Linked DNA regions of Neurospora crassa OR74A. The protein of the gene in region 1 purifies or fractionates together with the protein of each later gene. This does not show direct contact. Links are inferred from orthologs where the notes say so. Each region holds a gene or a part of one and is shown on either strand. Other genes may lie near its edges. The genes, in order: arp-3 and NCU03050.

Region 1 (6,523 bases):
CGAGGCAGGGGCCGAGACCCTCAACTGGAGGGTTAGAGTCTTGGTGTGTGTAGATGGACGAGAGAAAACGTATGATGTCGATGGGCGAGGCGGGACGTAGAGGATGTGACGGTACGGGGAGCTCCCACTGGCCAATCGCCCATTGTCTGCCCTTTTCCATCAGCCCGGTGGATACCCCTCTCAAGCCCCCCCATCCAGTCCCCGTCAGCAGCTTGATTGATCCAAGGGAAGCTTCAATGGAGTTGCTGCATCGGCCGGTTCAAGGTTTCCGAAGGTTTAGAGAGAAATTGAGAAGCCAAGAGGGGAGATCTCCGCTTCTGTCAACTGTACATACAAAATGCGGGGGAGCTGGCACTCGGACGCCAACAGTTGGAAGCAAACAAGGTCACGAGCTCTTGTTAGATGAAGCTGATCATGCACTAAGCTATTAGCATAGTGAAGGTCCCCCGGTGTTGATGTGCAAAAGAGGAGAAAGCTAAAAGGAGGACTGGGGGAAATCGTGGGCTCTTGGCGCATGTCGAGCGCGATCGTCCCAACTTGGGCACGAGTGATGTAACTGAAGAGATGGAGGCTGGGATGAGACCTATGTTAGCTTCAGTGAGTGTGGAACTGGCGGGAGCGCTGAGTCGAGTGATGACAGCGGGGGTGCCCGTTGGGGGACAGCCCGCCCTATCCAGCCTCAGCGGAGCCCGGCTAGTGTCGCCCGGACCATCGTTAGGTTGTTCTCGTGAGGCGCCACATGGAAACGGCCCTTTTCCCGCTCATCATGTCAACAATGCCGTGAAGCACCTGAGGTTCTGGTCCCATCTCGTGGTTTATGAGACGCTTTTGCCAGTCATTATGGAGCGGCCGAAATCTCACCGTCCCTGCTTATTTTTGTGGGAACTTTCTCATCAACCTCACTGTTTGTCGCAGAACCAAACACCCGGTGGTCGGCACCTTGGATCCGAGTACAGTCTTGGATACGGTGTTTGCCTAAACTAACTAAAGTCGTTGACAGCGCGCGGGTCCGATCCGAGACCCCGCCGTCATGTTCCACCCCCACACTTTCTAGTGTGGTGTAGTGTACTGCGTACCTATACATAAACGACTTTCCGCTCCACCGAAGTGGAAGCCACTGTCTCGAACCCACCACTACATACGCTACACATTGAAACCTGTGCCAACCACTCCTCCTCCTTCTCCTCCTCCTCCACCTCCTCGTCGAAGATCTCGTGGACGTCGTGGCTCACCCTTTCCCCGCGCCTTTGTCAACGCTGGTTGGGTTGGTGGTAAAGCTGAAACGGAGGCTGATGGAAATAGTATGGATCAATTATCGTTTCCAGCAAACACGAAGGAAAACAAAAGGAAAAAATAAAAGTCAACTTCCGCTCGAGCGAAGAAGCCTCAAAACAGCAAACTTAGCCGGTGCAGGTGACGAGGAGGCTTGGCTTGTAAGCCACCAAAGGACGGTCTGGAACCCCTGGTTTCAGCGACGAAGCTTCTTCCCCGCATTCTTGTCGTACTACCTACCCTACCTACCCATACCTATGGTACCGACCTCTATGAAGGCATGCAGAAAGTTGCATAACCTTTTGCTCCTTGCCCGGCGCAAAGTAAGCAATCTGATCACTGAACCCTCCAAACTGTGAATGCTCTCTGGGAACACGGTCGGTTTACTGTGAGGTGACGTCCGAGCATGTCAGGCAACATCTTTCAACATGACAATCGAGCCCAGTCCTGATTAGAATCTAATCAATGGGCTGAGAATAGGAACAACATTGAAAAAATGAAGAGAAAAATCAGCAAGTTGTGAAACTGATGCGAAGCTATCGGTTAGCTTGCCCGATGGGAGTTCGGCCAGTTCCAGAACTGTCGGGCCATATCAGGCCACCCGGCGCGAACCGGTGGTCGTGGTGCTGACACATCCTTGCTTACCGAGAGTTACAGTGAATGCCGTCAATGGCTTGGCACGCCGCCTCCGGAACCAGCCGATCGGTACCATTAAGCCCCCCTTTTAAGGGGACCGTTGCTCTGCGCAACGGATTCCTAAACATCAACACAACAACAGACACATTGGCCGTCTACGCTGACCCAACTTCACTAGCATTAAGTAGTTCCTCTTTTCTATTCATCGCCATTATATAAGCATCGGCGCCCGCTGCCTGCCAAATAAGATGCGGACTCGCTCCTGTACACAAATAACTACGCTTAAGATCCACCAGGTCCTCCGAGCAGAGCGAACCTGCGCACGATGCTGGGTCCATATTCTTGGTACTGTAAAGATCCGTCAGCAACCAGACTGCCAATGGTAAAAGGGTAAAGAAACATACCTCTGCCTTGGTGTGGCAGTACGACCGGAACTCGGGCGTCTGACCGAGCAAGCTACCACCAAACCACGGGCCGTGCCGTTGCCTTTTGTGGGTGATAACCTGGACATCAAGACCACCGCTCTTTGCTCCACCGCTGCGCACCTCGCTGGCCTTGATTCGCGTATCGACAAGCTGCTTGATATCGCGCTGTAGCCTGCGACCAAAGTCCTTGTAGAGCGTGCTGCCACCCGAAAGAACAATGTTCTTGTAGAGACCACGACGGACATCGATGGGCGAAGACTGAATGACACCATCAACAACCACGGGCAGGGGCGTAAGGAAATCGGACGAGTAAATCTCGGGGTTGAAGAAGATTTCGGGCGCCATGAAACGCTCGTAGCCAACATCAACCGTAACTTGGCGGCCACCGGGCTGGGTAATGGTGTGCTTCAGGAATCGGCTGCGATCGCGGTCGTACTTGGCAAACTCCTTGACAATATCCGGACAGACGTAGCAGTACTCCTCCTTGATCTCCTGGGCCGTCTTGAGGGACGAATCGGGCTCGCCGCGGTCACGGAGAAGCGACTGGACAAAGTAGGTGATATCGCGACCGGCAATAGGGATCGACTTGATGGACGAGCCGATAACGTAACCTTCGGCGACCGGGATAACGTGTGTCACACCATCACCCGAATCAATGACAGTACCGGTCAAGGATCTGTCCTGGACCTTGGATGATGTCCAGGAAGCCGCAAGGGCCAGAACGGCCTGGACGGCAATGTAGAGACCGGCGCAGTTGAAGGATTCGAAGAAGATCTCGGCGGTGTTTTCGCGGTTCTCGGGAGGGTTGAGAGGCTGAATCGACGTGTCAGTGCTGCAGACGTAGTACTGATGTGGCTTGGAAAGTGTAGTCTTACGGGCTCAGTGAGGAGGAAGTGGTGGTCCTCAGGCTCTACTCTCAGATACTTGAAGATGGAGTTGGACCAGAACCTTTCCATGTGATCCTAAGCTCCAGTTAGCTCTAGGCATTTGTGACATGCCATCTAGCAGCCTGAACGCACCCAGTTCTCGATCTGTCCGTGTCTGATGGGATAGTGCAACCCGTAGCCTAACACCGTCAGCACCCATTTCCGTTGAGGCGGTGTAGACCAACGTACCAGGTCCATTGGCGGCCGCTACGGCCTCGTCGCCGATAAAGTAGTCGAGGTCTTCGGTTCCGCGCTTTGCTGAGAGATGGCCACCTGGACCCGCGCCGCCGGTGAGGAAGGATGGCTTGTTGGCTACGGCGGGGCGGCCAGAGCCCGAGCCGCCGGTGCCTGCCGAGGGGCTTTTGGTCGCGATGGCCGTCGGGAATACGAACGAGGGGGAATCATTGCCGGCGAAACCTGCAGACGACGAAGAGCTTGGTCAATCGGTGGTCATTGGATATCTTGGGGTGTCGGAGTCGCGAACCTAGCTTGGAGAACCCCGTGCCGCTGGTTAGGGGATGTTAGCGATGACGGCCCCGGAGCTGTTAAGGAGCGGGCGGGGTGGAGACGGGACACTTGGATGCACGTACTTGTCCATGACAACGGCGGGGGTTGTGTTGGCCATTGTTGCGGTGGTGTGCTGCTACGCGCAGCTCGTGATGATTGCGGTTTGGTAAAGCAACGGCTGTTGTTAGTTGGTGATGGATGAAGTGACGGGGCGGGAGCGTGGATGGGTAGTGGATAGGCCAGGCGGGAAATGGAGGTTGATGTCCAAGATTGTACGTGCCTGGCCGAGCTAGCTCTCCTTACTCGTCTGGCTGACAGCGCTGCGTGGTACTGTGGAGGTACCTGTGCGGCTGTGCGCCAAGACCGCGAGGTCCCCGTATGGTACGGCGGTCCATTTAGTCAGTTGTGCATTTCCAGCGACGGGACCTACGCCATAACTGGAGATGACGGAACCAAACACCTCGCTGCCACCTGCGCGCCATCCGAGCCCCCCGAAACCTAACCGATGCCCCGGTCCCAAGCATCGGAGTTTGAAGCACACGGCCCGGGCCCGGACGATGATGGCTAGGAAAAAGTGGGGCCGATCGGTATCAAAACTGTAGCGACAAGGCCAGCCAGACAGGATGTGTCCTTCTAAGAAGGAAGGAGATACTGAATGGAAAATCACCTCCAGCCAGATTCCCTCACACCTGCCATTTCTGTCGGATTCATTTCAGCTTCATCCTCTCGAAGCAAGTCCACTTTGCGGAGAAGCTACACACACTCACAGCTTCTCACTTATCACAACGAATCATCAACCTGTCCAGTGTCCACATTCCGTTTCGTCTCTCTCTCCGTCTCTCTCTCTCTGTCGTATTCTGTATTTTGCCACCTTTGCCTTCACACATCTTCATCCCGCCCACCTACTGTATCCAAAGGGACTCTTCACCCCTCGGGCCACCCTGAGTGCATCATCTAGCTCATTGGGCATCGCTCCAATCTCAAATACCCCTCAAGACATTATCACTACCGAGCATTATTCCCATTCATTGTTTTAGCAGGTTGCTTTTACGAGGGACACCAAGTCCGACCACCCTTTTCATCTCATCCACCCGTTCCGATCTTCTCCAACTCTTCGCCCTTGCCTCGATAAGTCTTTTCGCCCATCTTTGTCCCAAGGCACAAAAGTCACCCATGACACACCAAAACTAAGGACTCTATGTGCCCTCAGAATACAGACTCGCTTGAAAGACACATGCTCGATTACCAGACAACTCGACCTCGCCAGATCACACGCTGCTTCGACTATCTCCTCGAGTCGTTCTATCACAGCTGCGCCCACGATGAGCAGCAAAAATGCCGAGCCCGGCCATGGGTCACCTGAATCAGATATGGACATGTCGGACAGCTCCTCAGAGTCAAACTGGTCTGGTGATCATGAATACGGATTGGACGGTGGTGTCGAAAGGATATGGAAGCGTACGACGAAGCCAGTTGCGGCAATCTTTGTCCACGCAGGTGCAGGGTACCATAGCATTACGAATGAAAAGGTTCACTTGGAAGCATGCAGCGAGTAAGTTGAGTCAAGAGTCATCAGGTGATCCCTTGCTGATGCGGTTGTAACTAGAGCCTCCCGTGTCGCCATGAGGTTTCTGAAAGCCGGTGCTTCTGCCCCCGAGGCTGTCGAAGCTGCTATCAGGTGTTTGGAGGACAAAGAGATTACGAATGCCGGCTTCGGAAGTAATCTCAACATGGATGGAGTTGTCGAATGTGACGCAACTGTAGTCGACCATCTGGGGAGGAGTGGTGCTTGTGGCGCTGTTTCGGGTACGCCCAAACCGACAGTGCCACATATGAGCGGCCAGAAACGACATGCTGACACTCGTTGACATATGCAGGCATCAAAAACCCCATCTCGCTTGCCAAGTTAATTCTGGACAAAAGTAGTCAGCCTCTTTCCCTCCGAAGAGTACCGCCGAATATTCTCGTGGGCCTCGGAGCTAGGGACTTTGCCGAAGAACACGGGATGGCTACCGTACCAAACGAATACCTCATTTCCAAGAACGCAAAGGATCGTTTTCTCCGCTGGAAAGAGGACTTGAAAAAGGCGGAAGCAAGACAGATTACTCAAAGTAGTAACTCCTCTCACATCTCACAAGTGTCTCTGAGAAACCTAGAGACACATCGCCCGTCGCCGACACCGAGTGACTACGAAAAAGCGGCGGAAACGCTAAACGCGTCGACTTTGCGACGGGACCACTCGAGTGCGATTTTGACTGGGATATGGAACGAAGGCCAACCCGACTCACCATATGGTAGAGGGTCCCCTTTACTGGGTGAAAATGGATCACTTGGAAGTGTCCCTTCAGCCATACCTCGCCCACCTCAGAGAAGTCTCACCAACGGAAGCAAGCCAGTCGATCGAGCTGCCATGAATTACGTGTCAGGTGCTTTTCAGTCACGCGCCAGTACTGGAAGCCCAGCCGCCATGAAGAGGGCAGTGGTACGTCACAGTCACAGTGAAGATATTGGCTATTTCCCGGCTACTGGGGAAACCCCGAGACGATCTCCGTCATTGTCAACTCATGATGGGTTTGTGAGCGTAAAGGAAGACCACAACCAGAGTCTGAACACCATGGAGAACCAATCGGAGGAACACTCACTTTCGCCCGCCCAGATCAGCGACCCGATGTTTTCGAATGCACCGAAGCAAAAGGAGGACGAAGATCTGATAACCGACACCGTCGGCGCAATTGCCATAGACCTAAAGGGGCGCAT
Region 2 (7,020 bases), on another chromosome or scaffold:
AATCACTCCTCTTATGACCCCTTAATGCCGTACACGTATATAGATCAGCACCTGCAGATGTCCCACATTCCATAATACTACTAGTCTCATGATCTTTCTATACCTAACTCCCACCTCCTCTCCCGCACTCCTGTGGATAGTCAGTAAGGGACTAAGGAGCACTGGGGTTTAGGCAACTAAAGCAGTTTTATATATATACTACGTTCTCGGATTCACAACTACAACCACTCAGATGGCGCGGATGTAATGAAACCCAGACCAAGACCCTTGCACAAAGCACTAGTCCATGACGCAGATCGAAGGCCTGCGGCCGCCGTGCGGTTCGGTTGAGCAAAGCCGTTACCGAACCGTCCTGAGTCCGACCAGGGGTATTTGATTGTGAGGGGTAGGAAGTGGTAAGTTTCGGCTCATGGTATGTTTGATGAAATGTATATATACAGAGAAAGAGAGAGGTTTGGAGGCAAATACCTTGGCTGCTGGTCTGTCTTCGACTATGAGGTTGACGATCTAATACCTACACCCTTTGACAAAACAAATACGTCGCAACAAGTATACGTCAAGAGATATCAGTGGAGATGGCTACAACTACGAACGGGCACATGGACGGAAGTGACCTCAAGAAAAAGTTTACACTTAAAGACACGGTAGTGGAAAATCTTAGACCGTTGAGGGTAGTTGTCATTGGCGCTGGGTATAGTGGTATCGGGGCAGCGATTAGGTGAGTTGCTTCCCTACCTCCCGCTTTAGGCTGATGAAATAGTTGTACCACCGGTTCAATACTGACAAACATGGGTGTGCTGTGAAGAATACCAGAGAAGCTACGAAATGTCGAGCTAGTGGTCTATGAGAAATACGAAGGCGTCGGAGGGACATGGTAAGTCCACGCTTTTCCTCATGAACTCATTTGGACCGCCAGTCATTCACCAAGCAAAGACACTGATACTGCAAGAAACAAAAAGGTGGGTGAACACATATCCAGGTATGTACGACCTGGTCGTGGTCCCCAAACAGGAGTAGGAAACCAAAGCAGATCAACTAACCGACAGCTAAAACGAACAAAAGGCGTCGCCTGCGACATCCCCTCTCATTCATACCAATTCTCCTTTGCGCCCAACCCGAACTGGTCCAACCTCTATGCGCCAGGCCACGAGATCCAGAAATATCTGCAGGACGTGGCTGAGAAATTCGGAGCGACGAGGTTCATCAAGTTATCACATAAAGTGGAGGAATGTGTCTGGGACGATGGGCAGAAGAAATGGTTCGTTATAAGTTCAGACCAGTTTCACACACGTCAAATAGAACAGACAGGCTAATAGAACGTGAACGGAAAGGCAATTCAAAGTCATGAATCTGGTTACCGGAGAGGTGTTTACCGATTCGGCGAACGTGCTGATTACGGCTCGAGGTCAGCTTAGCGAGCCGCGATGGCCGGATATTCTGGGAATTGACCAGTTTAAGGGGAAGAAGATGCATTCGGGGGCGTGGGATAAGAGGTAAGAGGTTGTCTGACTGGCCTTTCAGAGGCAGTCCTGAAAAGGTGTCGTGCTAACTGACCTACAGTTATGACCTCCGCAACAAGAAGATCGCTGTTGTGGGTAACGGTTCCAGTGCCATCCAGATCGTTCCCAAGCTCCAGAAACTCGAAGGAACGACGCTCTCATGTTTCATACGATCACCGACCTGGATATCGTCAGCTTTTGGTGATAACACCATGAAAGACCTAGGACTGGATCCCAAAGTAACCGAGTGTAAGTTTTCATCTTGTGTAGATCACGGACCTCTCCGTGAACAAAAGAGCCTAACAACCTATACCCAGTCACCGAAGAACAAAAAGCCCTCTTCCGCTCCGACGCCCCGCCCTCCTCAAATTCCGCAAAGCTTTTGAAGACTTTGGCACCTCCCTCCACAACTCCACCATGGCAGGCCACCCGATGACCATCGAGGGACAAGCTTTCTTCAAAGCGGACATGGAATCCAAGCTGTCGGCTCGTCCCGACCTGCTAGCCAAGATCATCCCGGCCTTCGCCCCTGGCTGCCGGCGCCTCACTCCAGGAAGGGGCTACCTTGAAGCCCTCCAACAACCCAACGTGACAGCAATTCACGACCCCATCTCACACATTACCTCCTCCGGCATCGCGCTCGCCACTGTGGAAGGAAAGAAACAGATAATCGACGCCGACGTAATTGTCTTTGCCACCGGCTTCCAAGCCTGCACCTCCCCACCCTTCCCCATCATCGGCCGGCGCGGACTTACCCTCGCCTCCCGCTGGTCCCAACACCCCGATAGCTACCTCGGTCTAGCCGTCGACGGATTCCCCAACTATCTGATGCTGTTCGGCCCAAATACGACCATCGGGTTCGGCAGCCTGAATCGGATCCTGGAGGCGCAGGTAGACTACATCGTCTCGGTAATCCGCAAATTACAAAAGGAGGATTACGCGTCCATGGAGCCCAAGCCGGAACGAGTGCGGGACTTTGTGGCCTTTGTGGATGCCTACTTTAAGGATACGGTGTACCTGGATAAGTGCAAGAGTTGGTATCGGTCGGAGGGTGGGACGGGAAACAGGATCGTGGCGCTGTGGCCCGGGTCGACGCAGCATGCTGTTGAGACGCTGAGGAGCCCGAGGTGGGAGGACTGGATGTATGAGGGTGCTGACAAAAGTGGGAATGGGCTGAGGTGGTTGGGGAATGGATGGAGTTTGACGCAGACAGAGGGCGATCCGAGTTGGTATTTGAATCCGGAGGAAATCGAGTTTCCGTGGGAGGGCAAGCCGGAGGAGAACCCAAAGTATAAGTCGAAGCCATGGTCGCATTGAGGGCGGTGGCGGTTATAGGAAATTTCTAGCTGAAACTAGTTAGCCAAAAGCAATCTTCACGTATCTTGGGCTAGAATGAACTCCGGTGTGCCAGGTATATCGGAAAGCCGCAAGATCAACGTTCACTATGTAAATCGAGTGGAATGATTAGGGTAGTGATTAATATTGTCTGTCTTTGGTGGTAGCTGTAAGTGGTCATCTTCGGCCGCCTTTGCCGATAGACTAACATGACGGGTTTCAAGTAAAGGCAGAGTAACGTGATACACAAACCGCTGCACGAACTCCTTAAGCGCCAGCCTTGAATGTCCTTCCGCTTGCTGTCTTCTTCTCCTTTTCTTCGGTATCGGGCCTGGCTCTCCGGAGAACCTGGAGGAAGTCGGCGGTGCGTTTGCGCATACGCGAGTGGATATACGCCTGGGATGGAATGTCAGATGGAGATCTCTGCGTAGCATGTTTCCCAATGCACCTACCTTGGAGGCCTTGATGTGATAGTGGAAGTAGTCGCGGAAGGTCTGGATATGGGAGATAACATCGGGCATCCGCTGAGGAGTGAGATGGCGAGGGAACAGGACTGCTACCGTTAGTCAATCCCAGATATAGCTTGTTTCACGATGTGGCATACCAAAAGTGACATAACCAATCTCGCCTGTACCAGTATTCTTCACCCCCGGAACATTCTGAAGCTCGAGAGGAGGGTCGTTGCGGAACAGGACCTGGGGGGCGTTCTGGATGGCTCTGCGCCGGGCATCGACGAATTCCTGGATGAAGACCTTGCCGAATACTCTGTCCGTTTCTTCCCTAAAAATGGTACTGAATATGACGGTCACACGATCGTGGCTGGCCTTGACGTAGATAGCCTCCTCTTCTCGGTAGTGAATAGCCTTGACCTCTCCACCCTCACGGACACCCTGTGGCGCCTCCTCGGATGTAAACTTGGACGCTTCCTCCTTTAGGGCGTAGTGTTCCTGGTAGGCCTGCTCGAAGGGCGCGGCCATGGCATTGCGCTTCAACAAGGCAATCTTCATGACAAGGGCATCGCGGGCCTCCTGTTCGGCGGGGAGGTTCTCGAGGTCGACCTGGATGGAAAAGTCATAGCCGGCCTCGGGAGGGACAACGAGATCGGCATATTCGCGGTTGAGGACCTGCTCAGCGCCGTAGCGAACGAGATCCTGGAAGCATCGAATTTGGAGAGAGACGAGAATCTTGGTCTTGGATTCGGGGGTGGAGATGTGGAAGACGACGCCGTCAAAGTCGGAGACAGTCTGGTCGATGTTGACGGGGGAAGCTCTGGAATGCGCGGTGACGGCGGCGGCAGCGTCGTCAGTGCAAGTTCAGGGGCGGACAGGCGCACTGCGCGTTCGGGCTGGAGACGTGGTAAACATACCCAGGAGCGAAACGCTCGGTGAGCACCGCCTGAATCAGGACGTTCTGGTAGTCGAGCAGGAGCATGTTGACTGTGATTCCTCGTATATATCCGGCGCCGTCGAGTTGTTGAAGCCGGGTCGGGTCAGTTGCGTAGTGTGTTCAAGTGTCGGGGGTGGGGCCGTGATAGGTAGGTAGCTACAATCTTAGAGGTATGTAGAGCGGTCACCTCCCTCAGCACGGGCGGGCAGTGTTAGTGTACAGAGCAAGCAGCACCTCCAGCGGCACCTCAGCAGCTGCAGGTGGAATGGGCCAACAAGGCCCTGGAGGGAATGGGGGGTCTGACAAAAGTGGGCGTAGCAGGCCTTTGTAGTATAAAACGCTTGAGCAGGGGTTGTGGGCTGCAACATCCTTATACAGTATTGTTTCTTACTGTAATCTACTAAATAGTTGAATATTATTATATTAAAATTGGTTTTATTTTGCAATGTATAGTTTTAATTAATAGTACAGCGACTATTAACGTAGTATTGGGTACGAAACGGAGTTGACCGTTCAACAGCGTACAAAAGTATAACAACAGCAAATTGTACTACAATAATGCGACCTAAGCCACAAAATGTGCAATATAACATATATACTCGCTTGAATTACTAGTTGCAGGCTAATATTCTTATTAATATAATAATTATTTAATTATATTTATCTATTTAATAATTAGTATATATTCTAATTACTAAAAGTCTTACAATTATTTTACAATAATTTTTAAGTAATATTATATTTATATTAATAGAGGTAAGTAGTAAGGGAGAAAGCGCTATATTAAATTACCTATTTGGGCTACCTAGCGGAGGTTCTTTATAGTTCCTATCATTTCTATCCTTTTTTAATAATTATAAGCCAAAACTCTAACTTATATATATAAGAAAATTGGAGTATAGGTACTATATAGGTAGTTAATAATATTCGCCTACTCTAAGTACGCCTCCTTTATAACTATTTCAATATAATAGTATAAAATATATATTCCTTAATATAAATATAACAATAGGAGAGTATAGCGAAAAGAAAATAAGAAACTCTAGCTCCGGCTTTAAATAAAAACAACGTATAAAATTAATTGTAAATAATAACCCGGGATAATATTATAAAAATGAAAGAAAAAAAATAACTTAAAGAAGATCGAGGGGTACTATAGCCTAATATATATATAATTGTAGGTTTTGCTAATGCTAACTATTAGCGACGAATATCCTCCGGAATTATTCTTCCTTAGAGAGGTGAAATTTATTAAGGTATTCGGTCGGGAATTCGAATTTAGGCGAGGGTATTCTATACTAACCACAACTATCTTTTAGAATTTAATTTCTAGCCTCTTTAATATTCTTCATTAAATCTAAAGAAGTATTAATAGAATATCGATTTAGAATCCATAGTTCGTAGAAGCCATTAAGATTATTTACATCAACCCTACAATAATAGCGCTCTACAAACTCTATTTATATTAAATCGGAAACTTAAATTTCGCCTTCGAATTTAATAAAATTGTATTTATAATTAGTAATTTAATTAACTATTTTATACTCTCCTTTATACTTATAGAAGTTAGGAGGTTCTAGGATCTCTTCTAATTCGTTGGAGGACTAAATAATTGTAAATATAGTAATATTAGGGGGAGGAGGCTTAGAAATCTCTTCTAACTTATTAGGGGACTAAGTAATTACCGGTACCTCCATAAATATAGTAAAATTAAAACTCAAAGCAAAAACCTCCGGCGGAGTAATATAGTCGGGGATAAAGTTTGAGGAACTAGGAATATTACTACCCAGCGGAGCAATATAACTAAGAAGGTTATTTCTACTTACTATAATATTACCGCCTAATAGAATTTCGCTATCGTTATTAATATTATAAAAAGGTTATTTATAATTATTAGCGTTATAAAAATACTATTTATATTCGTTTTCTCTAATTTTAATATAACGTCTCTTTTAATTTCTATATCCACCGTCGTCGGATTCAACATTACTACCTTAAATAGCTTTAATACTAAAAATATATATTTATTCTTTAATTAATATACTATAGTCTAATATATTCTCTAGTAATTATCCGTATATAGGAATAAGTAGAATAATAGTAGAAGGAACTAGGAATATATATAGAAGCTACTACTCCAATTCTCTTTTAACCTTAGGGGGGTAATTATATTTATATTTAGTAGGAGTAAAAGTAGTAGTAACTTAAAGGGTTACAATAGCTTTAAATTTCGGACTATAAAGGTTATTAATAATAATAGCGGTATAGAATAGGTAAGAAACTTTGTATATTTTTAATTATATTAAAATAAACTTACTAGTATAAAGTAAAATTTCCGAAAAATCGTCGTTCTTAATAAGCTTAACCCTAAGTAAAAATATATTTCCGTTATAATTAATAACCCGTATTTCAATAGCCGAATAATATAAGAAGCGAGCTATATTTGGCTATTTATTATAATATTTTTCCTATTCCTTTTTTATATTACACGAAAACTTTTTCTTATTTATACTTAAAACTCCCGTAATACTACTAATAAATATTATAAATATTAGGCCCTTACTTAAGTTATTACTCTTATTAGCCGCTTTAAATTATTAAAGGAATAGCTTATAATAACCATTTAGGTAGAAACCTTTACCGGCTATAGCATTAGCAATATCTAAGGCAATGTTTCCAATTATATTCTTCTATTTAAGGATATAAATAGGAAGGATAGCAGCAATTTTATCCTACCCCGTAGTAGAAATATTAGTACTTCCAGCTCGAAACTTATTCTTACTACCGGGAGGTCTACTAG

The links.
Region 2: the proteins of arp-3 (region 1) and NCU03050 purify together in Saccharomyces cerevisiae (affinity purification with western blotting; 6 studies listed by BioGRID, with this or other methods). This does not show direct contact. The link is inferred for Neurospora crassa OR74A from reciprocal best matches to the Saccharomyces cerevisiae genes ARP3 and ARC35.

The regions. Positions count from the first base shown.
Region 1 is NC_026502.1:2,533,580-2,540,102, reverse strand, and holds arp-3 (actin), read right to left. Parts: upstream 4,077-6,523; 5' UTR 3,885-4,076; coding exon 3,850-3,884; intron 3,767-3,849; coding exon 3,744-3,766; intron 3,677-3,743; coding exon 3,449-3,676; intron 3,400-3,448; coding exon 3,353-3,399; intron 3,296-3,352; coding exon 3,209-3,295; intron 3,147-3,208; coding exon 2,313-3,146; intron 2,257-2,312; coding exon 2,191-2,256; 3' UTR 2,029-2,190; downstream 1-2,028. Other genes in the region: NCU01757 (asparaginase), read left to right, coding at 5,089-5,318, 5,373-5,572, 5,644-6,523. UniProt on the Saccharomyces cerevisiae protein: Functions as ATP-binding component of the Arp2/3 complex which is involved in regulation of actin polymerization and together with an activating nucleation-promoting factor (NPF) mediates the formation of branched actin networks.
Region 2 is NC_026501.1:8,290,647-8,297,666, reverse strand, and holds NCU03050 (ARP2/3 complex 34 kDa subunit), read right to left. Parts: upstream 4,508-7,020; 5' UTR 4,266-4,507; coding exon 4,201-4,265; intron 4,104-4,200; coding exon 3,439-4,103; intron 3,388-3,438; coding exon 3,287-3,387; intron 3,231-3,286; coding exon 3,102-3,230; 3' UTR 3,099-3,101; exon of another isoform or gene 2,968-3,098; intron 2,883-2,967; exon of another isoform or gene 2,846-2,882; 3' UTR 2,817-2,845; downstream 1-2,816. Other genes in the region: NCU03049 (flavin-binding monooxygenase), read left to right, coding at 576-718, 806-874, 960-979, 1,063-1,258, 1,332-1,493, 1,561-1,748, 1,924-2,816.